4 linked regions of the Arabidopsis thaliana genome follow. The protein of the gene in region 1 interacts with the protein of each later gene in a pairwise test. Each region holds a gene or a part of one and is shown in the gene's direction. Other genes may lie near its edges.

What was found.
Region 2: the proteins of NF-YB10 (region 1) and HBI1 interact in a two-hybrid assay, tested with the Arabidopsis thaliana proteins (one large-scale study listed by BioGRID).
Region 3: the proteins of NF-YB10 (region 1) and NF-YC5 interact in a two-hybrid assay, tested with the Arabidopsis thaliana proteins (one large-scale study listed by BioGRID).
Region 4: the proteins of NF-YB10 (region 1) and SUP interact in a two-hybrid assay, tested with the Arabidopsis thaliana proteins (one large-scale study listed by BioGRID).

What each region holds. Positions count from the first base shown.
Region 1 is NC_003074.8:19,772,053-19,780,249, reverse strand, and holds NF-YB10 (nuclear factor Y, subunit B10), read left to right. Parts: upstream 1-3,960; 5' UTR 3,961-4,168; exon of another isoform or gene 4,169-4,248; 5' UTR 4,249-4,258; coding exon 4,259-4,482; intron 4,483-4,643; coding exon 4,644-4,773; coding exon of another isoform or gene 4,774-4,794; exon of another isoform or gene 4,795-4,881; coding exon 4,882-4,887; coding exon of another isoform or gene 4,888-4,983; exon of another isoform or gene 4,984-5,023; coding exon 5,024-5,098; intron 5,099-5,194; coding exon 5,195-5,251; intron 5,252-5,544; coding exon 5,545-5,583; 3' UTR 5,584-5,921; downstream 5,922-8,197. Other genes in the region: RIP3 (ROP interactive partner 4), read left to right, coding at 1-60; AT3G53342 (uncharacterized protein), read right to left, coding at 2,897-3,115; AT3G53330 (plastocyanin-like domain-containing protein), read right to left, coding at 6,312-6,974, 7,051-7,320; AT3G53320 (mediator of RNA polymerase II transcription subunit-like protein), read left to right, coding at 7,972-8,074.
Region 2 is NC_003071.7:7,950,959-7,959,288, reverse strand, and holds HBI1 (basic helix-loop-helix (bHLH) DNA-binding superfamily protein), read left to right. Parts: upstream 1-4,549; 5' UTR 4,550-4,842; coding exon 4,843-5,226; intron 5,227-5,304; coding exon 5,305-5,523; intron 5,524-5,601; coding exon 5,602-5,736; intron 5,737-5,825; coding exon 5,826-5,897; intron 5,898-5,972; coding exon 5,973-6,107; intron 6,108-6,198; coding exon 6,199-6,253; coding exon of another isoform or gene 6,254-6,267; exon of another isoform or gene 6,268-6,648; coding exon 6,649-6,743; 3' UTR 6,744-6,885; downstream 6,886-8,330. Other genes in the region: AT2G18320 (F-box associated ubiquitination effector family protein), read right to left, coding at 1,758-1,952, 2,626-2,661, 2,980-3,069. UniProt on the Arabidopsis thaliana protein: Atypical bHLH transcription factor that acts as a positive regulator of cell elongation downstream of multiple external and endogenous signals by direct binding to the promoters and activation of the two expansin genes EXPA1 and EXPA8, encoding cell wall loosening enzymes.
Region 3 is NC_003076.8:20,559,934-20,566,995, reverse strand, and holds NF-YC5 (nuclear factor Y, subunit C5), read left to right. Parts: upstream 1-5,767; 5' UTR 5,768-5,825; coding exon 5,826-6,386; 3' UTR 6,387-6,562; downstream 6,563-7,062. Other genes in the region: AT5G50500 (uncharacterized protein), read left to right, coding at 4,439-4,846. UniProt on the Arabidopsis thaliana protein: Stimulates the transcription of various genes by recognizing and binding to a CCAAT motif in promoters.
Region 4 is NC_003074.8:8,238,085-8,245,370, forward strand, and holds SUP (C2H2 and C2HC zinc fingers superfamily protein), read left to right. Parts: upstream 1-4,171; 5' UTR 4,172-4,419; coding exon 4,420-5,034; 3' UTR 5,035-5,288; downstream 5,289-7,286.

The sequences.
Region 1 (8,197 bases):
ATTGAGACTAGCAAAATGTTGAAGAAGTTTGGTGTGTTACTCAAGAAAAACCATAAGTAATAATAATACTGATTCTTTTTACTTGATTTAATAAAAATGGCATTATTGTTGTATGTAAATTTATAAAATTTCGATTTGTCTAAGTTTAATTTTTTTGTTGAAACGTTGCCACATTTGTTGATGAAATTTGTATTGTGAAATGTTGTTTGAATTCAATACTTGAAAAATTATACCTTACTTGTCTGAGTGTGAGCTGCTAGTAGCAAATTTAGTTTGGTCCTGTACATTGGTTTACACTTTACATGTATAGAAGAGTCAAGAGTGTAAAGTAAAAGTTTGTAATAGAATGTGAAACTCTAATTAAGAAGCCACATGAATACCTCTCAAGTCTTGGATCTTCCTTTTGACATTTTCTTCTGTCTATTTTCCTTTTTGTTGCGCACTAAACGCTGAGACGGCCCACTAGATTGTCTTTGGTAATGACAACCAAATCCACTTCATGAAAACATTTGACTTTTTTTTTTTTGGCAGAGACTAACCCATTCTACCTAGTTTTTAGATATCAGTGACAATAATTAATTAACTACTAGAAAATGTCCCACGCGATGCGTGGGTGAAATGAATGTAGTGAAATATATGTCTATAACTAATATATATTAATATAATATTAATTATTTTATAATACATTCAATAAAAAATATCATAAATATTGTGATTATGATATTTTAGTTTTAAACTAAACATTTAGTTTATGAATTATAATCTAAAATTATTTTGGGTATTTATAAATTAAAAATTATCGAATTGATCAAAAAAGAAAAATTATAATATTGATATACAAGATAAGCCTTGTGTTTTATTTAAATATATGAAAATGATATGCAATATTTCTCTGAGTAAAAGATTTCATAAGTATATATCATATTGATTATAGTATGTGTGTAAATTGTAAAGTAGTTAATAGATTTGAAGTTGTGAGATTGATAAAGTCTTGATTAATGAGTAAGATTAACATATATGAATATTGATATATTAATACTAATTGATATCAAAAGAACTCTAAATACTTTATACAATTAATATTCAAATTATTTACTATTTCTTCCATCTTTGAACAATATGGTAAGAAAGTATTGAATTTATTTACTAATGATTTACTATTTACACATGATTTTCAATAAAGAAGTTTAAAGTTATTTCGATGCACATAATCAAATATTGAAGAAAATATACCATAATTCGGTTGAAAACTAAATAAATTTAAAATTTAAAGTGCAATGTAACAAGTAACAACATACAAAATAATTTAAATTAACAGAACTTCCCACCAATGATATCAATGAAGATTATATATTTTGTATAGTTTCATCATTCATCAAATCTCGTAGGTTATATATTATCTTTATCCATGTAATTTATTTCTATATTACCTCATTTGCCAACAAATGCATCAAAAGACGAATTATTATGGTCACTATAAAACTTAAGAAACGAAATATAGTGTAAATTTAGCATGATAAGTAAAAGATAAACATTCTTTCAATTACTATGATTAGTAAAATGAGTTATAAGTTACTGTTTAGTACATAAGATTAATAATAAATCAAATGTGTACAAATAGGAATAATGTTTGTATATTAAACTATAAACTAAATGAAAGAGACGAAAATTAAAGAAGTAGCCACACATTAAAATAAAAAGTGAATATATTAAGCAGGACCAACCAAGAAATATCATATGGATCCAATAAACATTTGGCTATATATGTTTATCATTTGGTTGAGTACTCACTGTTGGTATTTTTCATTGAAAAACTAAAATAATTTTAAAGATTAATATGAATTTTAGCAACTTGACTTAAATATTTTATAAACAACATTGGTCAACTTCAAAACATGAAGAATAAGTAGAAAATGAAGGTAAAAGATACCTTGTTTCTCATGTAAAAGTGAGAAGGTACCTTAGACATTTTTCATCAAGTCATTTCTAAAGGAAATCCACCTTTCACATATTCACTTATGCATATACTCTAAAATTTGACTCAACCTCTTTATTTCAAAACCTACGAAAGTCACATAAAATTTTGTTTTTAAAGATATTTAGTTAAATATATATATATATATATATATATATATATATGTATATCCATTAATACTATGTTTATATCCTCTATTAAAATATCGGACATGTTCATAAAATAGCAGGTTGAAGACACCGGGTTCCCATGTCGAACCACTAAAGTGAAGCTAAAGGCCTTTGACACCATTTACTAAACTTTGAAACTTTGACTATGGTTGTGACTCGAATAGTTAAAACACAAATAGCTGGAGAAAAAATTAGAACCATGACATTAATAATTAAATAAAATATACATCACAGATGAGCATCGAGCAAGACATATATGATTTGCTTACCTATTACCTTCATCATGAACAGAAATTCTCAGTGTAATGATTGCTAAGAAATTCTTAGTGTAATAATTTTTAAGCCACTTTGTATCTACCATTGCACCTATAAAAGGATGTATTAGCAAAAACACATGAAACATGTTATAAAGAAGAGAAGTAACAAAGTGTGAATCAGTATCACCACATTTGGACGATACAAAAGCTACACAAAACAAATATTAAAATTATAAAAATGAGAGAGAGAAACTTGATTTTAGTTCATTTCTTTAGTGAAAATGAGAAAAATAAAAAACAACGTAATACAGAGGACGAAGCAAACCTTTGAGATTACCATTCTTTGGTTTCTCCAATCCGTCATACTCATATGGTTCGTGCTTTGTCTTTTTTTCTCTTTACTTTCAATTTAATTATGTGGAAAGACTTAGCAGACCACAAAATATTATTTCGATGTTTAAACAATCCCGAAAGCAACACAGAATGATAGAAGTTTAAAAGGAGTTGTAAGAAACAAACCTTGAGGAACCGATGTTAATGTTGTTCCTATGAAGAATCCTACCAGGAGCAACGTCACCACCATCGATCAACTCTCTAAGCCCCCAATTCTCCACCTCCTCTTCTTTCACCTCCTTCTTCTTCTCCTTCTCCACATGGCGGTTATTAGGAAGCTTCACAGGCAACCTCTCGAAGTAATTCCCGAAACTTACCATGCACGTTTTTATTATCTTCGTATAGAAAGAATGAAGCTTCAACCTCAAGCGTTAACAAATGCAGAGAAACCAACTTAAAAAAAACTGACATGCAGCGTCTTGCATTTTATAAGGTGAAGGGTTACACTAAAAATGATATTAAATATGATACTAAATATTGAAATCATGGTCATAATTACATAAATGATAATTATGTTAGTGTAACGTAACTGCTTTGATTTATGAAATAGAACAGTTTAGTTGACTAAAAAAAAAACAGCAATAGTTAGACATAATAAATAAAAGAAAACGTGATATCACATGTGTCATTAAATAGAATATTAATTAAACTCAAAGAATATGGAAAATAGTATATTTAAATTTAAGAAGAATGACACATGTCGAATGAATAAAGCGCCACTTGTAAGATTTTTAGAGCACAAGTTTGAGGAAACCTTACTTTATTATATAAGATACTAGGTTTTATTACAAAACTAATACTATTTTGATTCCAAACAAATATATATTTGCTTAAATGACAGAATAAAAACTGAATAAAACAATAAAGATAACAAGAAAAACAGTAAACCACTTAAATAATTAAATTAGACAATTAAATAAGTAGAAATTACATGTCACTGAGAAAAACCACTTATCATAACAACTATTTAGATAAATTAAATCCACTTACATAAATACAATGTATATAAAAAAGAAATCATGTTTTTTTACTATAGTTTACATGATAGAAGAAAAAAATTCACTACATTGAAATAAATCTTATATATTTTATTTCACCTAATTACTAAAAAAAGCAGAACAAAGAAACATTGTTGAGGAAAAAACAAAAGAGTTTTTTTTGTTTGTTTGGTTTTGTCAAATTAACAAAAAAAAAATGAACGGTGTCGATAAAAAAATAAAAAAGCCCTAAATCGTTGAATCGCATACAAGCTCCTATCTTCTCCAGCGTCGGATCAGATCAGATCAAATCTCTCTCTCCATCTCCGTCTCCTCCTCCAATCATCATTTCTCTCTCCGTCTCCCGCTCTTTTTCGAATTCTCCTTCTTCTTCAGGTATTCTAATCACTTCTTCGCGCTTTCTGGGTTTGGTTCCTCGATTCTCCCGATTTCCCAATCTCTACCTGATTATCTAGGGTTTCTGAGATGGCCGAATCGCAAACCGGTGGTGGTGGTGGTGGAAGCCATGAGAGTGGCGGTGATCAGAGCCCGAGGTCTTTGAATGTTCGTGAGCAGGACAGGTTTCTTCCGATTGCTAACATAAGCCGTATCATGAAGAGAGGTTTACCTCTAAATGGCAAAATCGCTAAAGATGCTAAAGAGACTATGCAGGAATGTGTCTCTGAATTCATCAGCTTCGTCACCAGCGAGTAATTTCTTTCTCTACTTTCTCAAAAATGTTACCTTTTTGTTGCTTTGGTGGTTATAGCGTGTAAAGCCCTCTTCTTTGTTAAGTTAGATTGATGTTATATTCATTGGGTTGTTAAGCAAAGTCACTATGTCGATTTTGGAATATTGTTTTGCCTTTTAGGGCTAGTGATAAGTGCCAAAGAGAGAAAAGGAAGACCATCAATGGAGATGATTTGCTTTGGGCTATGGCCACTTTAGGATTCGAAGATTACATCGATCCCCTCAAGGTTTACCTGATGCGATATAGAGAGGTATGTTCCACTTCAGATTAGTCAGTTTACATTCTGCTATACATTCACTGACTCTCTGTTTTTCCTTCTCATTTCCTTGTCTATGCTATTTGGATTGGAATTTTGCAGATGGAGGTTCGTGGTTCTCCTCTTTCATTTATCTTTCTGATAGTCGAATTTTGTACGTGGATCCTTTTATGGGGTATATGGTGTATGATTGTATCTAATTAGGATTGTCTGCTACCCTTTGCTATTGTTATCTGTCTGATAGGGTGACACTAAAGGATCAGGAAAAGGCGGGGAATCGAGTGCAAAGAGAGATGGTCAACCAAGCCAAGTGTCTCAGGTAATGACTCGGTCTTCTCCAGTTGATATGGTCGTTTACCTAAGCATTAGCTTCTCCAGCTAATTTATTGTTTCCCTGTCTTTACTTTCTGAACAGTTCTCGCAGGTTCCTCAACAAGGCTCATTCTCACAGGGTCCTTATGGAAACTCTCAAGTAAGTGTTTTCCGACAAAAGAAATGTTGATACTTATAAATGAATTCATTCTCTACATAGAGCAGAGCCGGGGTATAAAGAGAGAATATTATTAACAATTAAAGGATTTAAGGACTTTAATAGACTCGATAAAACCGTCATATATGCATTATCCACTTTTTGAAATCTAGACATAGGTTCTCATATGTTCCAGTCTCTGAGGTTCGGCAATAGCATCGAGCATCTTGAAGTGTTAATGGTATTTGTAATCTATCAATATGCAGATAATTGATTAAACTCGTTTGTGAATGTAGGGTTCGAATATGATGGTTCAAATGCCGGGCACAGAGTAGTACTAGGACACTATTCATCACAATCTTCCGAGACTCGACTATGCCTGTTGTGTCTGAGAATCTGAGTGATCCACTTTCCATAGATATGGATTGTGGTATCTCAGTTTTTGGGAGAGAGAAGATTTGTATATGATTGTGTTGTAGGGAGAAGAGTTTGGTTTGCTTATGATAAGAATTGAAAAGCACCTTTTTTTTCTTTTGACTGTTATGTTTCTTAGGTTTTGGTCTTAAGCAGAAGCTATTTATCACCACTTCATTGGCCTGTTGATTCTTTCATGCAAGTGAGCCCGTAACTTTTATAAAACAACATCATGATTTATAATTATCTCTTTGATTTTTTGGTCCTAAATTCGAGTTTCATTTGACATCATCCATTGATAAAAAGAAACGAAACTTGATATTGAATCGTTGTGGTGTGGTAAAATTCACGATCTAAGTTTGTGATAACACTCCGTTTATCTGTTGGTGTATATTGATAAGGCTTTCTGTTACTGCTCAGAATCTAACACATGGGACATGTGAATGTCATATGGAACATGTTCATGTTTATGGGCCTAATCTTGATCAAACAAAAATAAAAACTTTGAAATTTAAGAAAAACTGAATAACAGAATCTAAATGAAACAATAGTAAGAATAAAAAGACCAAAAACTCTTTAAAAGAGCAAAACCAAAACCTAAAACTCTTGAACTAAACTCAATGCTTAGTGATGAGGTCTGAAAGGGTAACTACCATCTGTTGACGGTAGGTGACAACTTCTTCTTGGGAACATTCGGGAAAGTAACAGCTTCGGTTGATGGTTGCACCGTGACTCGAAGCTTAATCCCAGCCTGACAAAGACCGGTCTTTAAGCTTACAAAATAATGCACTCCTGGTTTAGTGAGCTTAATGAGATCGTGTCCCGTTTTGTACACAGCTACAGTAGAAGTCGATTCGCAAGATCTGAACTCAAGTTCATCGGTGATTTCCCTAACGTCGTTGAGTTCCTTGTTGTATTGGAAAAAGAGAGTATCTTCAACATGAAACTGTTTACCCTCACTCCACTTGTAATAGTAGTAACTGTAATAAACGCTCCATCCTCCGTAGTCACCAACTCTGTAGATCTTACCAAAAGGAAGGATCTTGCTCGGTGGTGGTGGTGAAGGAGTAATGCGACGTGAGGGTTCATGGGTCTTGCTCGGTGGTGGTGGTGGTGGAGGAGTATTCGGACGTGACGGTTCATGGGTCTTGCTTGGTGGTGGTGGTGAAGGAGTAATGGGTCGTGACCGTTCATGGGTCTTGCTTGGTGGTGGTGGTGAAGGAGTAATGGCTAATGGGTCGTGACCGTTCATGGGTCTTGCTTCGTGGTGGTGGAGGGATCGGACGTGACTTTTCATGGACGACAAAAACGTCTAGTTCCAGTCCATTGACGCATTGAATATGATTTGAGCTGATGAAGTAGTGAATTCCTGGTTCCTTGAGGGTTACGACATCATGTCCTGTATTGTAAACGGCTTTAGGAGAAGAGGAGTTGCATGACTCGTACTTTAAAGCATCGGAGAGTTGAGTGACGTCGTTAACGTTCTGATGGTATTGGAAGATCAAAGAATCCCCGACGTGGAATTCCTTACGCTCAGCCCAAGAGTTCGTCTTCCCACTCCACCCTCTAGAACCTCCAACTTTGTAGATTTTCGCCGAGCAGCAACTCAAGAGAATCGTGATCGCGAGCACAAAGCCAAAGATCTTCTTTGTGATCATGTTTTGATCGTATAAGAAGAAGAAAAAAAAGAAAGATGATGAGATCTCTAAACTCGTTGGATCAGGAAAAGTATTTGGAGTAGAGTTTATGAATGTGTTTGTGAAAAATAAGTCACGTATTTGCTCTGTTTATATAGAGATTAACCATCCCAAATCATAATCCTTGTCTTCTTAGGATTTCGTTTAATTTATCCTCTTTTTCTTTATATACAAATAAAATTCAAAACTTTTTTCCTAATGTAATGAAAAATCTTATCTTGTTTTATTTTATACAATTACAAAATCTTAGAATTCTCTATTAGTTAGTTCATCGTATTTCGGTCGACGGCTATATGTTTGGATATTGGGTTTTACGCATTAAGGCCCATATGAGGTCAAGTTTGCTTTTTTTTTTATGGGCTTTATTAGGCTTCAACGAGATTAGTTTTTAAAAGTAAGAAACAAAAATAAAAATGGAACAAATCCAACGGTCGAGAGTCGATCAAAGACATTACACGATTCATTAGTGAACAACCGCGCTCACTAACTCAAAAACCCTTGATTTCTCAAAGAGTGGGAACAAATCGAATCTAATCTTCAATTCAAAATTTTATCTTCTTCCTCAGTCTTTGGGATCTTTGAGCAAACTCAACATTTCGATCTCTCTGTTCAATGGAAGATAAAGAGAGCAAGAAAAGCGAAGTTGAGGTCGATGGCCTTGGTTTGATTGATGTCGCTGTTGAAGACGATAGCCTTCTCTTCTCCGAGTTTTCCGGTGAATTACAATATCTCTGCTTATTCTCCTTCAATTTTGGATTTATGGGTTCTGGGTATTTTTGTTAATTTCTCTGAATCTACTTGATTAGTAGAGGATTTTGATTTTGCTTCATTTGATTGA
Region 2 (8,330 bases), on another chromosome or scaffold:
ATCTTGATTTTTTTTTTTTCAAATTTAATATTATTTGTCAGGGTTCGAGTTTTCCCAATTTCAACTATCTATGACCATCCGTAAACGTTTTCACTGACCTGAAATTTTTATAGATTTTGGAAGATTATATAGTAAGACTTTGGATAGTCCTCGGTTAACAAAAATAATAAAAAAAAATGAATCTTTTAATTTGAAGATAATGAAAATTGTTTAGAAACAGTGGTTACTATGATTTCACCTTTTAAAGAAACGAAAAAAACGAATTTTATTCACTTTTTCATAAAATAAGAATTAAAATTTTAAAATATATATAAAGTAATAACTTTGTTAAAAACTTCATTTTAATTGTACAATTTATTGATCAAAACATTTAAATCTAGTGGTTCAGATTGGTATGTTCATTGTATCATCATCCAAAATTCAAACCCGCATAATGTTATCTTCATGGTTTTTTTTGTTTTTAGTAGATAGCATATATCCAAGAGTTTTATGTAGATTTTTGGTTATCGAATTTTCGACAGCAAAATTTAATATATAATTTTTAGTTAAATTTCATAGAGCATTGGCTTAGCCATCATGAGAAAACAATCTGTAAGATAACTATTTGAACAATTTAGCCTTTTTAATGTCGACTTAAAAACCCCTTAGGAATCAAACACATGCATGTTTACTGGTGGTGGCGCTATGAAACTAGTTGTGGGAGTGTGGCAACAATAAGTTCTTCAACTTTTTCTTGCAAAGGAATTTGCATTAGTTATTTACCATATCTGGTCCAGATCATAATTATTCTAAGCTTTTGAATACTTTTTATTTTAAGATATAAACTAATTCAATTTGTCTCGTAATCGAATCAGAAGCACAAGGATTCGTCCGGATAGAAGGGTATTTTATTTGGTGCCTATTTTTTTGATTAAAAATAAGTAAATGTTGATATTGAGGTTTGTAGTATAGTGTTTATATATATTTATAGACTATAGTGTTTCAATTCTATATATTTATTAATACAATTTAATTTTTTAGTCCTCGTTGAAGTTGGGAAATTATGAATGAAAGAAGGATTGTCCAAATAAATAAAACTGGATTTCGACTTGGTCACTTGGAATATTGGATATATGACATGCAATACAATGTCGTCATAGAAGGAACTTGTGACCATTTATTATTATTTTGTTACATTTGTTTCACACGCACTGTTGATTACACTAGGCTTGACTTCATATGTTTGCATTGGATGTAAGGCCCAACATCGAAGCTTGTTTGTAGTCGACAGTTACTTCCTCTACTTTGAAAATTAATGTAAGCGCAACATTGACTTCATATGTTTGCATTGGATATAAGGCCCAACATTGGATGCTACACTTTGAGGTATTACTATGAGTACTAGAACTTTGAATCTGTTCATCATGCCGATTGCTTTCATTTCAAAATTCGAACATATCACCTTGTCTCCAACTCAAGCTCAAAAGAAAATAATACAAGAGTTTTCAAAATACTACTTATGACCAAAATTAATATTATATTAGTCTTGTTTAAAGGACATTGCAAAAGAAAAGGAAAAAAAAACGAATGAAAGTTGAGCTTTTTTTATTTTCTTTCTTTCTAATTCAAAGAAGAGTTATAAGTTATTAATAAATTGTAACTCTTGTTGTTTCCTTTTTGACTAATAGTGTAGTGTTAGACCTTGTTGTTAACTTGGTTCGCTTTCACTTCTTCTCTTTCCTAATTTTGCTCTTCCTCTTCCTTGATTTTCACTAAACTTAGCTTGGAACATAAGAGCTGGAGCACACAATTGGGCAAGAAAATGTTCTAACTTCTCCAAGATCCAATTTTTTCAAGCATATATTCTCTCCAATGATGTAAGCATATTTGTAGGCTTGAGATTCATCTAACTCAAAAACCACGAAGACTTTCTTCTCTTCATCAATGAAGAAACCGCAAGTCTCTTCATAAAACTGAAAATCAAGAACAGTGAGTGGTTCTATATCAACTTTTAAGAAGGGGGTCCACAACACCACTTAGGGCTCAATCTTAGTTATAATCCAAATCTCTATCACAGGGATTGATATAACACCGAGAGTTTCTCTTCTTTAACGCAAGATAGAGTTTCATTATTGTTATCATCCTCATGATGCTGAAATGGCAGAGGAAGAACCTGTCCAAATCTCTCTGCTGTAAAATCAAAACATATTAAGAAATATGGGGTTTGAAATGGATCACACCCTTTCATTCTTTCTTGAGTCCAATAGTAAGTATTTCCGGTTATTAATACTTAACCCAAACCAGAGAAGTGTTTGGATTGTGGGTTAACCGGTCGAACTGGAGGGTCCGAATTGGACGTGAAAACACTGAAAAAAAAGTAATCTATTTGTGTATCAGACTGTTACACATAACAAAAAAACATATAAGCTTTTGTTACTGGCATCGATATTGTTATTACAACGGTTCTGTTTGATATTATCAGTAAACAAATTAGAAAACTTTTTATCAAAAAGAAACAACTTAATATTGTTAGACAGATACATCTTAGATGTGAGAAACCTTAAGAATTATATCATGACTTGTATTTTTTAGGAAAAAAATCATTAATGCAGCCAATGTTATAAAGTTGATTCAATTTGGTCCAACTATGTAGATTGAAAGTAATGACTTTGTGCTATATTGCTACATGTATAATATTAACATAACTAGCTAACTTTTTCACAATGGAAAACTTATAAGAACTTAAATCCAAAAAAAAAAAAAAATCGCTCGTTTTGCAGTTCTTATGAATGTGATTGAAATTTGGAAGTGGGTAAACTTATAACTTTAATAGTATTACAACAGTGAATGGAGAAGGACACTATTAGGGACAATGTTCCACATCGGAAGTTAAGTAGGATCTTAAGTGGTATATATAAGATAGCGGCCTCTCCACCTATTGCCAATTGGTTTTAGGTTGGAAGCCCACACTCTAATATGGTATCAGAGCCCGATCCGCACATACTCAACCCGATCCACATCGGTCCGGCCCAATACTTGGCCCGCCGATCCATGCCCAAACATATCGAGATCAATGGCTAGAAGAGCCATCATCTCGAGGGGGCGTATTAGGGACAATGTCCCACATCGGAAGTTAAGTAGGATCTTAAGTGGTATATATAAGATATGGGTCTCTCCACCTATTGCCAATTGGTTTTAGGTTGGAAGCCCACACTCTAGTAGACAGAAGAATATGATCAAACACTCTGATCAAAAGCAATGGTCTCCTACCTTCCAATCACTTATCTTCAAACCCATTGTTTTCTTTATATATTTTAAATATATTTTGATGTCGCTTTTAATTATTAACATGTCATGTTATAGATTAATTTCTAAAATATTCAATGGTTGGTGGTATACTGTTCTTTGTTGTCTTGCTGTATTATCTATCTACTCATGGATTTTCGTTTGATTCTTTTATGGAAAACCCAAGATGACAAGATCTTTTGCATGATCTTGTCTTGTGTCTTTATTTCAAACTAACTGAATATAGTTAGTTATATATTATTGTTATCAATAAGCTGGAGTAGCTCAGTTGGTTAGAGCGTGTGGCTGTTAACCACAAGGTCAGAGGTTCGACCCCTCTCTCTAGCGATGTTTTCTTCTTTTCAGTTTTTTTTTTTTTTGTACTGATACAATTACAATTTACAACACAAAATACAAACTATTAGACTACATGTCAATAATGTCATGATGCAAATTTTGCGGTCAAACTTTTTTTAATATAAGTTTTGTTACATGGATTCAATGTAGTTTGTTTGGGTTTTACTTTGTAAGTAAGTTTTATAGAAACAATCAATTTTCTGAATTTTAGTTTGGATTGAATTCAATTAATTTGACTATTCCAAATGTCAATATATGTTAAGGTCTCACTCATTGTTTATTTTTTCCTTGTAAAGCTCCTCTCATAAACTTGAAAGGGCAAAAAAGAAGAAGAAAAAAAAGAAAACATAACACACACAAAGAAGGGATAAAGAACCTCTAAATTTAGTGTTCATAAGGACATGCCCACATGGTGTGGGTTATGTCACTTAGACCCTACACCTTCTCCTCTCACCTTCTTTGCTCCCAACCTTTTCTTTTATCAATTTATGTCCCTCTCTCTCTTAGATACCGAATCTTTACTACTATTTTCCGCAATTTGTTCTTGAGCCTCTTTTTTCTCCTAGTCATAGTCAAGTGTCTCTAAACGATGGACCCGATTTATCCACCAACGCTAACGTTTAATCTATCTCACTGTCATTTGTGACTATCACATAGCTACAGTACGACCATTTTCGTAAACTTATCATAAAAGATCGGTCTCAAATCCGATACAAATGTTATGTTGAACATCTACGTAAAATAGAAAACTATTGTTATTGCTATATATTTTTTAAGGGATACGTATAAAAAAGTTGTGGCGTATAAAAAACGTGTGGTACCATTTTGAATTGGTAAGAGAGTATTTATTTCTAGAGAGGTAAGAGATAACAAATAAGTAAATGAAATTTCTACATTTATAAAGGAAAATAAAATAAAAACATAAGAAGTAGGGGACCTTATGTGTGTGGGTCAATGTTGTTTTCTATTTAAAGCTAAGAAGAATGATTTCAATGGATTAGTTTCTCCCAACTCTTTCATCTTTTTTAAGCAACCACCCAAAAACAATATTACATAACCTAAATCTCTACTTCTTCATACATTTATAGCAAATCCTCTTTTGCTTTAAACCCACCAAATAACTCAGAGCTTTTTTGCATTTTTTCCCATTCTCTATTTTGTTTTGTACTTTTGGTCTCACTTTAAAAGATCATAAGTTGAAAGATTTCTGCAGAGAACAATATGTTGGAAGGTCTTGTCTCTCAAGAAAGCTTGTCCTTAAACTCTATGGACATGTCTGTACTTGAAAGGCTTAAATGGGTACAACAGCAACAACAGCAACTGCAACAAGTTGTGTCCCATAGCAGTAATAATTCACCTGAACTTCTTCAGATACTTCAGTTCCATGGAAGCAACAATGATGAGTTGTTGGAGAGTAGTTTCAGCCAATTTCAAATGCTTGGATCTGGTTTTGGACCAAACTATAACATGGGTTTTGGTCCTCCACATGAATCCATTTCAAGAACAAGTAGCTGCCATATGGAACCTGTGGATACAATGGAGGTTTTGTTGAAGACCGGTGAAGAAACCAGAGCCGTTGCCTTGAAGAACAAGAGAAAACCAGAGGTTTGTAAGATCAAAATTTTGGATAAAAACTTTGTTTTGAGACATGGTTTTTGATATTTTTTATTAATAATGTCTTAGGTTAAGACAAGGGAAGAGCAAAAGACAGAGAAGAAGATCAAAGTAGAGGCTGAGACAGAGTCAAGCATGAAAGGAAAATCAAACATGGGAAACACTGAAGCATCTTCAGACACTTCAAAGGAGACATCGAAAGGAGCTTCAGAGAATCAGAAATTAGATTATATCCACGTGAGAGCTCGTCGAGGCCAAGCCACTGACAGACACAGCTTAGCAGAAAGGGTAATAAAAATAAATAAGTTTCTTGTGATACAAGAATCATGATATATCTAGGGTTTCTGAATGGATTTGGATTTGCAGGCGAGAAGAGAAAAGATCAGCAAGAAAATGAAATATCTGCAAGATATTGTGCCTGGATGCAATAAGGTCACAGGAAAAGCTGGTATGCTTGATGAGATCATCAATTATGTTCAATGTCTCCAAAGACAAGTCGAGGTAAGCAATGAAACCATGATTCTCTGTAACTTAACTTCACTATTAACCAAAGAGAATAAGTCTAATTCTTAAAGAGCCATACTTTGCAGTTCCTGTCGATGAAACTTGCTGTCTTGAACCCGGAACTAGAGCTTGCCGTGGAAGATGTATCCGTAAAACAGGTGAAAACACATTGTCTAGACCCTCAAAGTCATATTGATATTGCTCAACAAACTTAAGGGTTATGAAATTTTCAGTTTCAGGCTTACTTTACAAATGTAGTTGCTTCAAAGCAATCAATAATGGTTGATGTGCCATTGTTTCCGTTAGACCAGCAAGGATCTCTAGATTTGTCTGCGATAAACCCGAACCAAACGACATCTATCGAAGCTGTAAGTACAGCTTTATATGAAACTGAAAAACTTGTCAGAGTTTTTGTTCCTTGTCAGTGAAGTAACCTGTCTCTGTATCTCTCTATTTCAGCCATCTGGAAGCTGGGAAACTCAATCACAGAGTCTCTACAACACATCTAGCCTCGGTTTTCATTACTAAGCAAGATTCATTGAAACAACATGGTTGACATCAATCAATCATCAAAATCAGAAGCAAATTCTATTACATTTGCTCATCAAAGTAGTAATTTCGAAATTTGGTTAATGCATTATCCTTTGATCCTTGTTTTCTGATATTTAAACCAGAAGAACTGGAGATAGCAATCCAATGATCTTGTCACCATCAATCTTTGTGTATAGATTATATAGAGAGATAGATAAATATGTTTTAGAGGAGTTATAGATATATATCATATTTGTAGAAGAAAGAGAGAAAACTCTTGTGGTAATTACAATTCTTGTTTGTTTTTTTGGATATATAAATATCTAAGAAAATTATAAATCGTTTTCCTGTTTTTTTTTTCTGCAACGAATATCTAAGAAAACTCTTGTGGTAATTACAATAAAATATCTAAGATTCTATTGTCAACGAAATGTACCCATCAATATGTTCCCATTCGAAGGGTATGGGTATAGAGTTATTAGGTCGCCATGATTTTTTATAAATCGGTGGAAGAATACTTTTGATGATCAAAGTAAACGGTATCTAGGCAGCCAATTAATCAATGTCGATTTTATCTTCACATAAAATTTTATTCATTGAATACAAATTATTTTCTAGCTATTTAATTTATGTAAAATTAAATCGATCATAAGAAAAAAAACTAATAGCTTAAACAGATGTTGTCTTTAGTTATTTTGATACAAGATTGCATTGTATTCTTTAAAAATTCATAACCAACATCATGGCGTTGAATTTGGATGTTGAATCCGAATGATGACTCTCAATGCACATTTAGATGAAAAGAAAAGAAAAAAATTTCGTTTGGAAACAGCTCATCGACTATTCACAGATTCGGGAGAGGTTATTCATTTATTCTTCTATTTTCTTGCTAAAGATTAACCATATATTCGAGTAGGATTCTTGTAAAAAGCAAACATCATCAAATGTGAAGTATGTGTCAAATAAAATTTTGTCAAATAAAACATCATCGAGTAGGATTCTTCTATTTCTATTTTTTTTTTGGATATTAGTTAGTGTCAAATAAATTTTTGTTAATTTAAAAACTACACTAGTAAACATTTTTATAACAAATAAGAAAATTGGATTCTCGAGTGATGGCAAATTCATGAATTCTTTATGAAATTGGTGAACATATATAAAATCGGACGTTGTTTTAAATTTGTTTCATTTTTAATTCAAAGAATGATATTTTAGACGTTTGATCATTGTTGTCTTGTTGATGCTACGATTGCATTCAAACTCTAGTTTTCATTACATTCAAAATATATCTAATTTTGCATTCGGATGCACCTACATATATAATTTTACAAAGCCAACAACATTCGTGCATCTATATGAAGAAACCAAAGATCCCTTAAGTTTCTAGCTTATTATTTTCTTTTCCAACTTTATCAATGCACTACAAAATCTACTACACTATGCTACTATAGTGATATGTATAATGTTACTGATGCTGACACAAGCTCTCTATATATTTATCACAATATGTTTTCTAAAAGTAGCTTTCAAGCTACCAAGTGGGTCAATGTTCTTTTCTCATATCAATTTTTCCAACCAATGATCTATTCATGAACTGTCTGATTTTGACAAGATCTATATGATAAGATATTATCCATAACCAAAAATGAAATTGGAAGTAGTTTTTTGAAGGTAGGAGTAGTTAAGAGATTTGAGAGGATCGAAGAATGAAGAATCTGAACCACAAAGAGTGGGCATCATTGTGGTTGCAGAGATTTTTAACCAAAGTGGACCTTCTTTTGTTCTTTCGGTTCCATTGAATTTTATCTTCCTTCATTTTTGAAGTAGTTGAAAATCTCTTCTATATTATTTTCAAAAAAATTCGAAAAGAAACAAAATTAGAGAGGTGTCGTTATCAAAAATAATGAAAGTCTTTGTTATTTCTGAAGTTAAACCATATATACAAAAAACAAATATAGTTTTAATATCTAAATATAAATTCATTCACTTAATTATAATTTTTAATCTCTTTTTTTTTTGTCTACTCATATTAATTAGAATTCAAAAGATTCATTCATGAA
Region 3 (7,062 bases), on another chromosome or scaffold:
ACTATACACGGACAGAAATGAACATTTAAGAATAACTGAGAAGAAAAAAAAAATCCAGCACAATAATTGTTTTGTTTTTTTGACAAAATTTAAAATATCATATTTACAAAAAAAAAAAAAAAAAAAAAAAAGGTTTTCAAGATTCTCAATATCCAGTAGGGTTCGTTTAGAGTAGAAATTCTTTGGTTACCTTTTAGAGATTAAGAAGAAAAAAAGTCTTTGTTCAAACTATATTTTTCTTGAAACAAAGAAATAAATTAATGAAAACGCCATTTAGAAAAGATTCATTTCTACAAACAGCGATTTTGTATATGGAAATCAAATGAAATCAGAAACGAATATTTTGACTGAGGGAATACAGAGAATATAAAATTTGTGAATATACAAAGGAATGGAATATTTACCATAAATAGTTTTATGCATGTTCTATTAATCCTCACTACCACATGTACTTATCATCCTATAAATTTTATCTCTTGAAGTTTTCACTTTAACGTTAAAGAAGAAAAAGATAAAATTGTTCTTTCTCATATTAATCACCCACAAGTCTGAAACTGCTTCTTCACTCTCAAGGCAAAGGTATGGTTTACAGAAACCACCTTTGATATATGGCTCGTGTTATTTACTTTGATTTTATTATTTAGGAGGCTTCTTTTCTGTATTTCGTTGGGATATATATCAGATTTTAGAGTACTTTTTTTTGGTCTCTAGCCTGTGCCTCGGGCATAAGAAATTAAATCATACTAAAGCGTTTGATGAAAAGTTTTCCCACTTTCTACTTTCTGATTATCAATCTTTTTCTTTTGCAGGATCAAAACTAAGAGACCAAAAGATATTGTGTACTATTTTAACAGCGATCGAAAACGACCCTAAGCTTGAGAAGAATCTCGGAGGTGTTTCATGATCACTTGGGTACTAACTTCTCATCATCATCATCATTAAGATCATCAGATCGTCTCAGCATGTGGGCACTATTCCGCGCTTTAGCATGAAGTGTGAATATCCAATATATGCAAAGATCACAGCGTTATGTGTGTTCCATGTTGGAAGTTTTCAAGCTTTTGAGTATCCGGCTCCATTGATGACTAGTGTTGTTTCATGGACTTCATGCTAATTCATTGTTCACAGGAGTAACACGAGCCATCGATGGAGCTAGACACACTTCAAAAGCTTCAAATGGCTTGCAACAATGAACACAAATAATCATGTGGTCTTTAATTTGCATCTATTATTTATACATTATGCTACAAGAACGGCATAATGACCATAAGCTGCGACCATCTGAGGATGATAATGATGATGAATTAGTACCCAAGAAATAAGGAAACAACACCTCCGAGGCTCTCTTCTCAGAAGAATAATTTTTATATTTGCCAGTTATGTTTTTCCTTCAGTCAAAATACAAAAGCTCAGTTTGAAAATAATAATAATAACAAAATATCAGTTTGTAGAACCGATTCATTTTAACTAGGCGTTTCTATATTTCTCTTTCTTTCATGTAAACGATACATTGAACATTAATTGTCTCTCTTTTTTTCTCTTTCTTAGCCTCGTTTATATCAAATCAATAGCTGGTGAATAATAAAAGAGAAGAAAGCTGTAAACAAGGTTCTAGTGTTAAAACCTTTTTGAAAAAAAAAAGGTTCTAGGGTTTCAACAGAACCTAAAAGGAAGAAAATCCTTTATCAAGACCTAGAAGGAAGCAAAGACCTACGAGACTTAGGAAACAAGATAAAGTCTACTAAAATGAAAGTGTAAGTCAAAATAAAAATAAAAATTAAGAAATAAATTTTGTGAATTGTACTTGGTTTGTTTTCGTTATCTGAAACCCTATTTCCTGGTGAGCAAGAAACTGTCGAGTCTTCTTAGCAGGATATGTAACAGTTTTAAACTGGAGTTACGACATGATTGCTCTCTATTTAATAAGTCTTTACATCTCTCAGAACAAAATAGAGGAACAATATCTTATAAGCTCCACTTCTCATTGCAAATCACATAAAAACTTTGACATAAATGATGATAAGAATTTCAAAATGATATAACATATGATCAAACTCTCATTCCAATCATATAGCCCTGCTTCGAGATACATTCATATTTAGCCCTGATTAGTGACTCCTCTAGTGACTACCGAGTAGATTATATTCATACCGACGACTCTTCTGGTGACAACTCTTTAGTTATATCATAGCTCGGAAACTGACTCAGTCTCGTGATTTGTTGCTGCTTAGCATAATTCTATCGATTAAAAAGGATTATCCATGGAGCAAGTACTCAATTGCTCCAAAGGGCTTGCGATAATGAGCACACATAACATAACCATTTGATCTTTGCATCTATTTGGATATTCATCCTGCATTGATCAAAAAAGATGAATAAAATGTGGTGGTTATGAGTGTTTCGAGTCTTCCAGATGTCTAAGACTTCGACAAGGATCAGACTCAAGCTTTGTTGAGAGAAAACCAAGTTTGGGCTACTTATGATGATTATGGAATGCCACAGTGGTATGCACTGGTCCATAAGTTTGTCTCTCAAGAACCGTTCAAGATGTGCATTTGTTGGCTTAATGGCAAGAAAAATGGATATGTGGGTTCAATGAAGAAGTGGATTGATTTAGGGTATTACAAGACGAGTGGATGCTTCTCAATTAGGAAACATAGCAACAATGATTCTCTCAACTCATTCTCACATAGTGCCTTGTGAACAATATGTGAGAAAGGATTGATGCACATATAAGCGACAAAAGGCAATATTTTGGCTCTTTATGCAAATTGGTCACATGATATTTTAACTCCCCAAGAAGTTGTGGACAAGTATGAAGTGCCTCAAGATTTCAATGAAAAAGAATGTTTGACGATTGTGACTTAAAAATAAAGTTGTAAGTTGTAAATCCCATGAGTTTAACAAGCGGCACAACCGTCACAGCTCACTCTTCCTCAAAATCTTGAAGCACTTCTACCATTTCATACTTGTTCATTTCTTCTAAAGAAGTTGAAATATTCCAAGATAGTGACCAGTTTGCATAAAGAGCCAAAATATTGCATTTTTTAGGATATATGTGCATTATCCTTTGTTACCTATTGTCCACATCAACTCTATGTGAGAACGAGTTGAGAGAGTCGTTGCTTATATGTTTCCCAATTGAGAAGCATCCACTCATCCTGTAATACCCTGAATCAATCTACTTCTTCAATAAACCCACATATCCATTTTTCTCACCACTAAGCCAATATATACTCAACTTGAAAGGTTCTTGAGAGACAACCTTATGGACCAATGCATACCACCGTCGCCATCAAAATCTAAGGACATACCCAAGGAAAGAACTATTCAGGTTCTCACATCAAGTTGCTTTTCAGTTGCTTATAGGTAAAGGAGGTGAAAATGATCCAGAAGGTCATCCATTTCCATTTTGCTCTTCCTTTTGCTCTTTCTTTCCGCTATTGATCATCCTTTTCCATCTTATCTTCGTCAAAATAGTGCCACAAGATCTTTCAAAATAGACAAATTGATTGGAAAATTAAAATTCCTAAAATTGCAACAATATAAGTTCTAATTTTGTAACAATGCTGAAACAATTTCTCCAAATATTTTTTTTTGTATAAATGTTACATTTAGTCATCAAAAAAACCATGTTTACATTATACGCAACCTTGTTCTTTGAGAGTAGACCATAACTATTTTAGAAGATAGATAATGGTTGAACAAAAATAGAAAAATAAAACCCACAACTAGATTTTTTATTTTTTTTTGTTAATTCCCACCACTAGATTTTGTACGACGAATATTTTAACATAGACACTACCTAATACTTAAAGCAACTAATATAGAACAGGTAATGAAATTCAACAATACCAAAAAGATGATTGAGGAACGGAGATTGACGGTGCTTAACAGAGTCGAGAGCTTTGATGATCTCTCCTTTATAACTCAAACATCTCCTCGTAGTGCGAGGGTTTAATGACGATTAGAGTCGCATGAGAAAATTGTTATCTCTTTTCATTGGCAACACTCAAAATCAAAAGCCGAACGAATACTAGTCTTGTGTTACACTCTCAGACCCAAACAAAAGAAGAAGAGAGAAGAGAGGAATTTTGATGTTTGTGATCTTATGAAGAGAAGGAGAAGACAATGACTTGACTTACATAGCCCAAGCTCAACGTATATATATTCATGAGGTGATCTCACCTTAACGAAAATTTATGAGATTTTGATTCTCACAACAATGTCAAAAACGTTTTCTGACCTTAATTGTCATAACTGATTTTTTGTTGTTGTTACAAAACTCTATCATTAAGGTAGATATTTTTTATTGGTTGTAAGCCCATTTCCCAACTCTCAAATCTCAAACCCAACCCATGTATGTTTGGATTTCTCCTCTTACTTACTGTATATTATATACCAAGGCAGCTATTTTGGACCTTCATTTCTCATTCAAATGATAACTTCATTTTTGACATTCCAATGCACCACCACGGTCCGCGTAGTGCTTGCAACAATGATTCTATTGTGCCGAAAAACCGGTCATTCCGATGAACGTCTTCACCGGAAAAGTGGCCACAACCACTTCATCAAAAACAAGTTCCAACACCCGCGCAAAGCTTCCTGCATGAGTTGTTTGTTTAGGAGTAGTACTCTTTTAACAAGTTTTATGGATTCCTTATCTAAGACTTCGAGATCTGATCTTAAGGGGAAACGATATCTTTGGTTTTTGAATTTCAAGATTGATATTTATCGAACTTTGTGCAAAAACCATCTATCTCTTTCCACCATTTATGTTTTCGAACCAATGCACTTCAAAGCCTATTTGGGAAAATCTCAAGTCTATAGATGTGATAAGACTTGAGATTTCGCCAAATAGGCTTTGAAGTGCATTGGTTCGAAAGGCTACGAGTATAATCAAACTGAGTATTGAAAGGTGTGTTTCCTCTTCTCCACACAAGAGTTTTGGTGCTACTGAGGAGTGATGAAACTGATAATGTGGTTATGGAGGAGTAATGCAGTAATATCTTGAAGAAGGAGGCGCCAAAATAAAACGGCTACTCTTGTTTAACTCCAAACTGTTCACTTTTTGGAACAATCCAACTCCAAACTGGTCACTTTTTATTTAAATTTAATATTTTGTTTGACAAAATTTACTAACATATTTATTAATGATCTCTCTTTTATTTTGCAGTTAAACATCAAAATGTGAGATTCTCTCTTGAGTGTCTACCTCCTCATGTTAACAAATCAAATAATTAGAGAAATAACCAAAATTTAACTTTTAGAGGGACTACAGGATTTGTACTTTGTACATTCATATATTATTGTTATATATCGTTTCATACATTAATTTGAACCAATGTAAATTAAGTAAAATTCAATTTAACATCATGAGCAAATTCTTATTAAAATTCTCTTAAAATTTTGAGCAAATTATGCTTTCACATTTAACATTTGAAAACATCATTTTTAACAAGATATTCAAAACTAAGTTTTGTACAGCAAAATTTTAACTTTCAATTTTATAGAGAAAAAGGTATTTTTTTTTTTGTTTCATTTTTATAAGACTATTATTTGGTATATAATATACACTTTAAGTAAAAACAAATCTCTTTCTTTTTTCTTCTTATAATACCAACCACAAGTCTGTCAGTCACACACATACAGTTAATAACATTAAATATTCTTAACAAACTACTAAATAGGTTGAGATTCATATATGTAAAGAGATCACTTCTTAATCTTATCCTACCATATCTTATATACGCTTAATTTTCCTTTATATATGCAAACCTCCACATAAAAATATCTCAAACCCAAACACTTCAAACAAAAAAAAAATGGAGAACAACAACAACAACCACCAACAGCCACCGAAAGATAACGAGCAACTAAAGAGTTTCTGGTCAAAGGGGATGGAAGGTGACTTGAATGTCAAGAATCACGAGTTCCCCATCTCTCGTATCAAGAGGATAATGAAGTTTGATCCGGATGTGAGTATGATCGCTGCTGAGGCTCCAAATCTCTTATCTAAGGCTTGTGAAATGTTTGTCATGGACCTCACGATGCGTTCATGGCTCCATGCTCAAGAGAGCAACCGACTCACGATACGGAAATCTGATGTTGATGCCGTAGTGTCTCAAACCGTCATCTTTGATTTCTTGCGTGATGATGTCCCTAAGGACGAGGGAGAGCCCGTTGTCGCCGCTGCTGATCCTGTGGACGATGTTGCTGATCATGTGGCTGTGCCAGATCTTAACAATGAAGAACTGCCGCCGGGAACGGTGATAGGAACTCCGGTTTGTTACGGTTTAGGAATACACGCGCCACACCCGCAGATGCCTGGAGCTTGGACCGAGGAGGATGCGACTGGGGCAAATGGAGGAAACGGTGGGAATTAATATTTGGATTGGGTTTTGTAACCGCTGTTGTGAGAACTTGAATTTCTTTTTGAGTTCTGCTTATGTTTTCAATGTTATGTTTTTTAGTTGTTGAATGTATTTCTGTTGTTTTGTCCAAAAAAAAAAAAGAATGTATTTCTGTTGTTGTCTTTCAAATGAATCTAATGGTTTATGAATATTGGCTTTAGATTAATTTATGCATACAAAAACACAAGGATTACGGATAAAAAAGTCCTCAGTTTACCCATGGAAACATAATCTTCTAGTGATTCCTTATGAGAGTAGAAAAGAATCATATATTATAATCTATTTCATAAGAGATAGGGTACTGTAAACAAGGATGTTTATTCGGCTATTTCTTTTTTTTTTAATCACTTTTACTTGTCAAGACTCTTTTGTGTTTGCAGCTTTTTGTTAGATTACATTCTAGAGGCAACAAGATCCAGAGATCTAGCAAAAAAAACTTATTTTGAAACCTGAATCTATTTTAAAAATTTTCCAACTCATTTTTCGTTCTTATTCTTTGTTTTCCAACGGAATTTGGCGCACAAACGATTTATTTGAATTTTGTCTTTCAAGAAATTTTAGCGCGGTTTTAGCGAACTCTTATGAGGAAGTTATTAATTGAATTATTTTTGTTTTTGTTTTTTCTAATTATCATTTCTATATATTTCTC
Region 4 (7,286 bases), about 12 Mb from region 1:
GAAAAAAAACAAATTATTTTAATAAACATGCCTTTACCTTATACAGTTTATATTTTGAAAGAGAGATAGTATGTTTTAGGATATATTTAAAGAAAAAAAAATAACTCTTTAATTTAGCTCAAATTATTACCTGTCCGGTTCTTTTTTCTGTATTGGTTATCGAACCATATTGATACTTCTATTCGGTTCCACTTCGATCAGTATTTGTTGGTACGACCATTCTAATTTGTATAGTTCCATTTGACTTCTTTAGGTTGCAACCAAACCTTTAAAAAAAAGAATAGAAAAAAAAATATAAACAAAAAAAACAAGACTTGACATGAAATGTGACAGCCAATCACAAAGTTTTACCACGAAGCCAAATATATGTTGAAAATGATAAAAACAAAACCTTCTCAATTCAAATTCATGAAAGAGACTTTCACAATTTTGTAAGAAAATAAACAATAATGAGTCTTATAATAAAGTAAAAATAGTAGTTATTTGAGAAAAAAAATTAGTGATGATGTAAAACACGTAGGGAAGGGGCTCATGCAATAAACAATAAAGTGTTGAACTACTGCGAGTAAACTCTGCAACTTCGATCAACGAAGCTATTGAAAAATCTAGGCCCTTTATTCACAAATGGTAAATAAAAGTAACAAATTAAAATAAAAAGAGAGTGGCCACTAGACTTTTAGACCTTCTCTTTCAGCCGTTGGATGTGTCCTATCGATGATGAGAGATATCATCTTCTAATTTTGGCAGAATCTTTTGTCTAATTCCACTCTCTCTGTCCGAAAATTTCCCATCTTTTTCACTCCATTCACCAGGTAACAGATCATTTCAGGTTATTATAAATTTTGGATAAGTGAAAATTAATGATAGAGAACCGAAAAATATTGGAAATAAACGGGGAACTTTTTCTTTTGCTATACCTTTTTAAATTGGTGGTGTGACATTTCTTTTTAGTTGGACTTCGTAGAAACTAGAAAGAGTCATGCAATTCTAAATTTACTATGGATAGGCGATCATTACTAGCTATTAGGTTAAGAAATCCATTTTCTTTTAGCAAAAGATTAGTGACAACTCATTTACTATGTTTTAATATTGTAGTATAGTAAAAAAAAAATGTCTTTAAGTATATTAAATTTATTTTGCTTAAGACTTCCATTTTTATTTTTATTTTTTTCAGAAGACTCATAATAAATCGATTTTTGTTTGATGGTAAAATAGTTGATGTATTTATATCATTTGGTTTATTCCAGTGCCATTTTTTCATTCGTTTATCGAATTAGTTTTAATTAGTCGGCACATTGATAATCCGTAAAAGACAACGTCAATGATCCACCTGAACATCTTCATCGTCCTTAATTTGGAACCTACTATTATTAATTTAAATAGATTAACGTCGTACAATATATACTAATAACATCTACCACAACATTAAGTATGGTACAAAGATCACAACTAATATGTGTCAAACAGCCCAAAATCCGTCCCACTATATGTGGCATGTGTCATGCAAACAAGTTACACATGTTAATTACTTTGATATAGAACTTTGAGTTAAAGAGACATTTTTGCTGACGCGCAGAAGAACAATATTACATTTGCGTGGTTGTAAAATTATAAATTTAAGGATCTTGAAAAATACAAAAACAAAATGTATAAAGTAATTTAATTTCAAGTCAGAGAACCTTAAGAAATCCATTGGTTAATTCCGCAATACTTTGAGTCTAATCATTCCGTATGAGTATGTTGTATTAATTTATTCAGTAGATACTCTTCCTGACGTGAATAACTAATCAAGGCACTTCCGCCTGTGGCTCGTCGATCCACCGTGGTTGCCGTGAAGTTGGGGATTTCGGGTTCACCGGATCTAAGACTCCGGCCACCGTGCAATCGTCCATCAGAAGGGTCCGATCCTTCAATTCCGTCGATAGTTTTCTTTTTTCTATTGGGCTTTTGTAACTGGATCAGATACTTGTAATCTTCAACCCAAGCCCATTTGGAATGTTATCAATGATTTAAAAAAAAAAAAAAAAAAAAAAAAACTAATCAAGGCACTTTTCCTAGCAGGTCAGATTTTTTATGAATTATTTTGACGAAAAAAAAGGGTAAAATATATTATTTATTTTTTGTCTTAAGTAGCATATTTAGAAGATAAAACAAGACTTCTACGAATATTAAGCTCAGCTGATTTTTTTTTTTTTTTTTTTTGTCAATTGGTGAAGTGTAGTAACATGTAACAAAAGTTGGATTTCAACGAGAGGAGTGATTGAAAAGGGGCGAGATGGTTAGATAATTTCTTGTGTTTCGACAATTGTGAAATGTGTACATATTGGGTATATATATATAAAGCAGTTGAATGTGTAGTAAATGAGACTTTCCTCGTTGGTGAATGTTGAGCTTTGTAATTGCATTTGTACGGTTCCTCCAAACTATTTGCAGTTTGGCCTTTTAACAATCCTACTAGTAAATCTATTTTATCCAAAGAGTTCAAACATAAAATTCTTACATTCAATTTCACTAGATCAATCATATGTAAACCATGCATGAACCGTATTTTAAAATCTAATTTTATTTAAGGAATTTTCAAAACATATTTTTGTTTTTACGTATCTTCGCAAATTTATGCGATTTTAAATTTTAGAACACAGATGTTATTAAACTCAAGATCAGCTCGACTCGGGTTAATTATATCGCAAAACAAATCTCTTAAAATCAACAGGAGTTGCTTCCCAATTCATATAATCTGTCCCCTCAAATTTCCCTAGATCCTTCAATATTATATACCTCACAGATTCCTCTATATAGAACCATAAAATGGAAAATTTAGCAAGTTCAAACATTTAATTTTCATCCCATAGAATGTTCCAGATATATAATTAAACAACTCCAAATTAAACATAGATATGTGCCGACGATGAAATCAATGTCAAGTAAAGGGTCACAATTTGAGCAAACACAACACATGTTGAAAGGAATTGGTCCAGAACACATGGTGATATATTAACTATATAAAACAAAAGAAAGGGACAATGTATGAATCTATATAGTATTATATAAAACTTTGAAGGAAAGGCAAAATCTAAAGACCTAAGTTTAATAATAATGTGTGTCGTTATTTATGATTTGCTAACAAACAAATGTCAAGATATGGCTCACGAGGAAAGCTTTATTAATACATATAGATGATAAATTCTATATTAAATGTATTTAAGAAAAATGGGAGAAAGGAACATCCACTTTTCCATTTTTGGTATAAAACTTTTGATATAATATGTCCTTTTGCTCGCCGAGGTTTTCCTTATTTATACACTCCCATCTTTTACATATTCACCCATCACTCTTTCCTCTCTACCTTTTATAATAATAACATATATCTACTACTTTAAGAGAAAATTATGATTAAAAATAGTGTTTTCTCATGGTATCTACTGCTTGTGAAATGTTTTATTTGTTGGTCGCTAAATTTGTTGGTGTTACAAAAGTTTGATATTCTGTGATTTCATCATGTTTCGATTGCGATACAAAAACGATAACTTGGTTATTTATAAAATTTTCACAATGCTTGTTTTACATAACATGATTACAAGACAATTGACTTTCTTTTTTGTAAAGTGAAATCCTACACTCATTTCTACTTCTTTTTCCCCATCCCATTCTATTATTTCTTTTTCCTTTCAATAAAATCATATTTTATGTTGAGATATTTTTGATAGTGCGATTTTCTTTTTCATTTGTGACAAATTGTTTGAGGATTTTATCTATAAATTGTTTGACAAATTGTTCAGACTCTCAATATTAACTTCATTTCCTTCTTAATTACACATATGCTATCTTTACTCCATATATCTTTTAGGTCTCGTTAAAATTGTGAATATGTTTAATAGATAACACTATAAACACTATTTCATGATAGCATAAAATCACTGAATGGTATCTTAAGACAAAATTGGTTGTTGATTTTCACGAAACTTAAAGGTGTAACATCATTAAATGAAAGTAATAGATGTACTTAATTAACTTGTGTCATCTCCATAGATCAAATCATGGAAAAGCTCGCTTAATACATGTTTACCCCAACATAAATAAAGCTTTTTCTTTAAAGTTTCATTTTATTAAATCTAAGATGGGGATTTGATAATGCGTCCAAGAATCAGTCTCTTTCACAGTCTTAACACCAAAGAGCCCCAACCCTATCATCACACACACCTCTCTCTCATCTCTATATCTCTCTCTCTCTCTCTAAGAGACAGACAGACATAGATATATCTTAGATTTTTCCCAGGGGAAAAAAGTGAGTTCATCTTTTCAGATCTTACAAACACTTTGCTTTTATAAACTGATGTACCACAAATCATTACTAGTACTATCTTAATTATCTTTACAATTTTTTTATCTAGCATAGCCAAAAAGAAAGAGCTTGCACATATGGAGAGATCAAACAGCATAGAGTTGAGGAACAGCTTCTATGGCCGTGCAAGAACTTCACCATGGAGCTATGGAGATTATGATAATTGCCAACAGGATCATGATTATCTTCTAGGGTTTTCATGGCCACCAAGATCCTACACTTGCAGCTTCTGCAAAAGGGAATTCAGATCGGCTCAAGCACTTGGTGGCCACATGAATGTTCACAGAAGAGACAGAGCAAGACTCAGATTACAACAGTCTCCATCATCATCTTCAACACCTTCTCCTCCTTACCCTAACCCTAATTACTCTTACTCAACCATGGCAAACTCTCCTCCTCCTCATCATTCTCCTCTAACCCTATTTCCAACCCTTTCTCCTCCATCCTCACCAAGATATAGGGCAGGTTTGATCCGTTCCTTGAGCCCCAAGTCAAAACATACACCAGAAAACGCTTGTAAGACTAAGAAATCATCTCTTTTAGTGGAGGCTGGAGAGGCTACAAGGTTCACCAGTAAAGATGCTTGCAAGATCCTGAGGAATGATGAAATCATCAGCTTGGAGCTTGAGATTGGTTTGATTAACGAATCAGAGCAAGATCTGGATCTAGAACTCCGTTTGGGTTTCGCTTAATTAGATGGTAATAACTTTATCCATAAAGGATTCGAAGTTCACAATTCTAGAAGATATGATGCTTCTCTAAGGTTAATTAGTTTCATCCATATGAAATTCTCTAAGCTTGCTATTTAGTAGAACGTTATAGTTGATTATATGATTATAGTATAAGCTATAAGCTTGCGTTAGATGTTATATAATATGTATGCGCTTGTTACCGTTTTATGTATGACAATGGATACAATTTTGTCTCCTTAATTATTGTTTATCTCTTCGATCGTATATAAATTTCTACATATTTTAGTTCTTACGTTTCATGTAAATTGATATGTTAGACTTAGTTTACTTTTTGTTTTGTTTTTTGTTTTCTGAAGATTGATAATTTATTTTTATCTTTTGCGTGCAAATAAATAAGTAAATATATATATATATATATATATATATATTGGGGCAGCCTATATACAATTGCACAGTTTTCAATAATAACAACATAGTTAGATAGATATATTAGATCTTTTTTTTAATATAATATGTATGAAGAACTACAAAATAGCATGCTTTATAAAAGTAATGATTATTCTTTTAACCGAAAACATAGTTGATCTTTTGGAGAGGGATCGTTTGTTATACTTTTTTTAATCTACTTGTTCAATCCATATCTTTCATCTCTACTACGGTAGTGGAACTTGTAGGTCGCATCTAGATGAAACTAAATTTGCTAGCTACTTCAAATTGAATTCCTATACAAGGGCATATATAAGAAAAAAGTAAAACATATCAATGAGTTCTGCCTTGGAACGATTCACTAGTTTCAAAACTTAAAATTCGCACTTCATATAGTGCCTATATATGCTGATCATATATCGTCAAGCAAATTGGACACTGTCTTAATCTCCTTCGAACTAACACATCTAACCTACCTTTTTAGGTAACAATTAACAAACGGGCTAGTAAGATTCGAAATAGATAGTTTCGTGGAACATACTAAATAGAAATTTTCATTTTATTAGTAATTCTTCGTGTACTTAGGGTTTCTATCTTCTTATTTTTTCTGCTATAGAGATACTAATTTAATTTAATAGAATATCATTTATGAAAAAGAACATGTTATTTGATGGAGTATGAATCTTCACATGTATATATCATTTGCAACTATGTCTTTTTCTGATAAGGAGCTTTTGCAACTTTGTTAGTATCAGATATCACGTTTATATGTATATGAATTTTCGGTTGGCACACTAGAAATTAAATTTAATATTTAAGCATTTGAATATGCTTACCACAAATCAAGGCTTCTGTTGTTTGTGAATACGAAAAGAGGGCTTTCAGTTTCTTCAAACTCTTGACACTCATAGCATTTTTGGTTAGTTTTTGTCATTTTGACTTTTGTATGATAATTTATCAATTTATTTCAAATCTGAATGGGTTGAATAGAAACTGTGTTTGCGTGTGATCTTGACTAATTGTACAAAAATATAAATATTTTTGACTGAATCATTGCACTGAGGGTAACAAATCATTATTAGAAAACAATTCCCAAAGCATATTTCAGTTTCATGAGTGCAAAATCTGTAAACATGTCATAATTTACTCGATCGCCATATATTTCCTTAATCTTTTTCTTTTTCTTTTGGTTTGAAAAGGTCAACACGTACGGAACAAATCATACAAAACTATAGGAAGATATTAAAATCTCTTAAATCAGTAACACAGATACGCAACACTTGTGTATGTGACGACCATAGTTGGATTTGGACAAGAGGGTATATATGCTGGAAGTTTGGTATTCCCCAAAACCTGAGGGTTTGCATGTTCCCGACAATGTCTGGGTTTTGAATGGCATGATGAGCTTTCCTTTTATAGTAAGTTATGTTTTCGTCAGTTCTAAGCGTTACACATAACTAAACAGTACAAACTCCTCCACCAAATTATTACTTTCCTTGAAAAGCATTAAAGTTTTTCCTCAACACTTTTTCACATACTCAAACACCAGCCACTTCAAATGTCTACGCACCGTTATTATTAATTCTTAATTTCTTCATCTATTCTTTTTCTTCATCTATTTGATCATCTCTCTTTTTCATTGAATTTTCCGAAATATTTCTTCATTATTTACATATAATAAGTTAATAATTCATCTTAGTACAAAAAATTAACGCAGATTCAAATTTGAGTGGTCTGGCAACTGTAAAGATAGCAAACCAAAAAAAAAAAAAAAAAAAAGATAGCAAACCATTAGCACGACTTAAATCCATAATTTCTTTATTTTC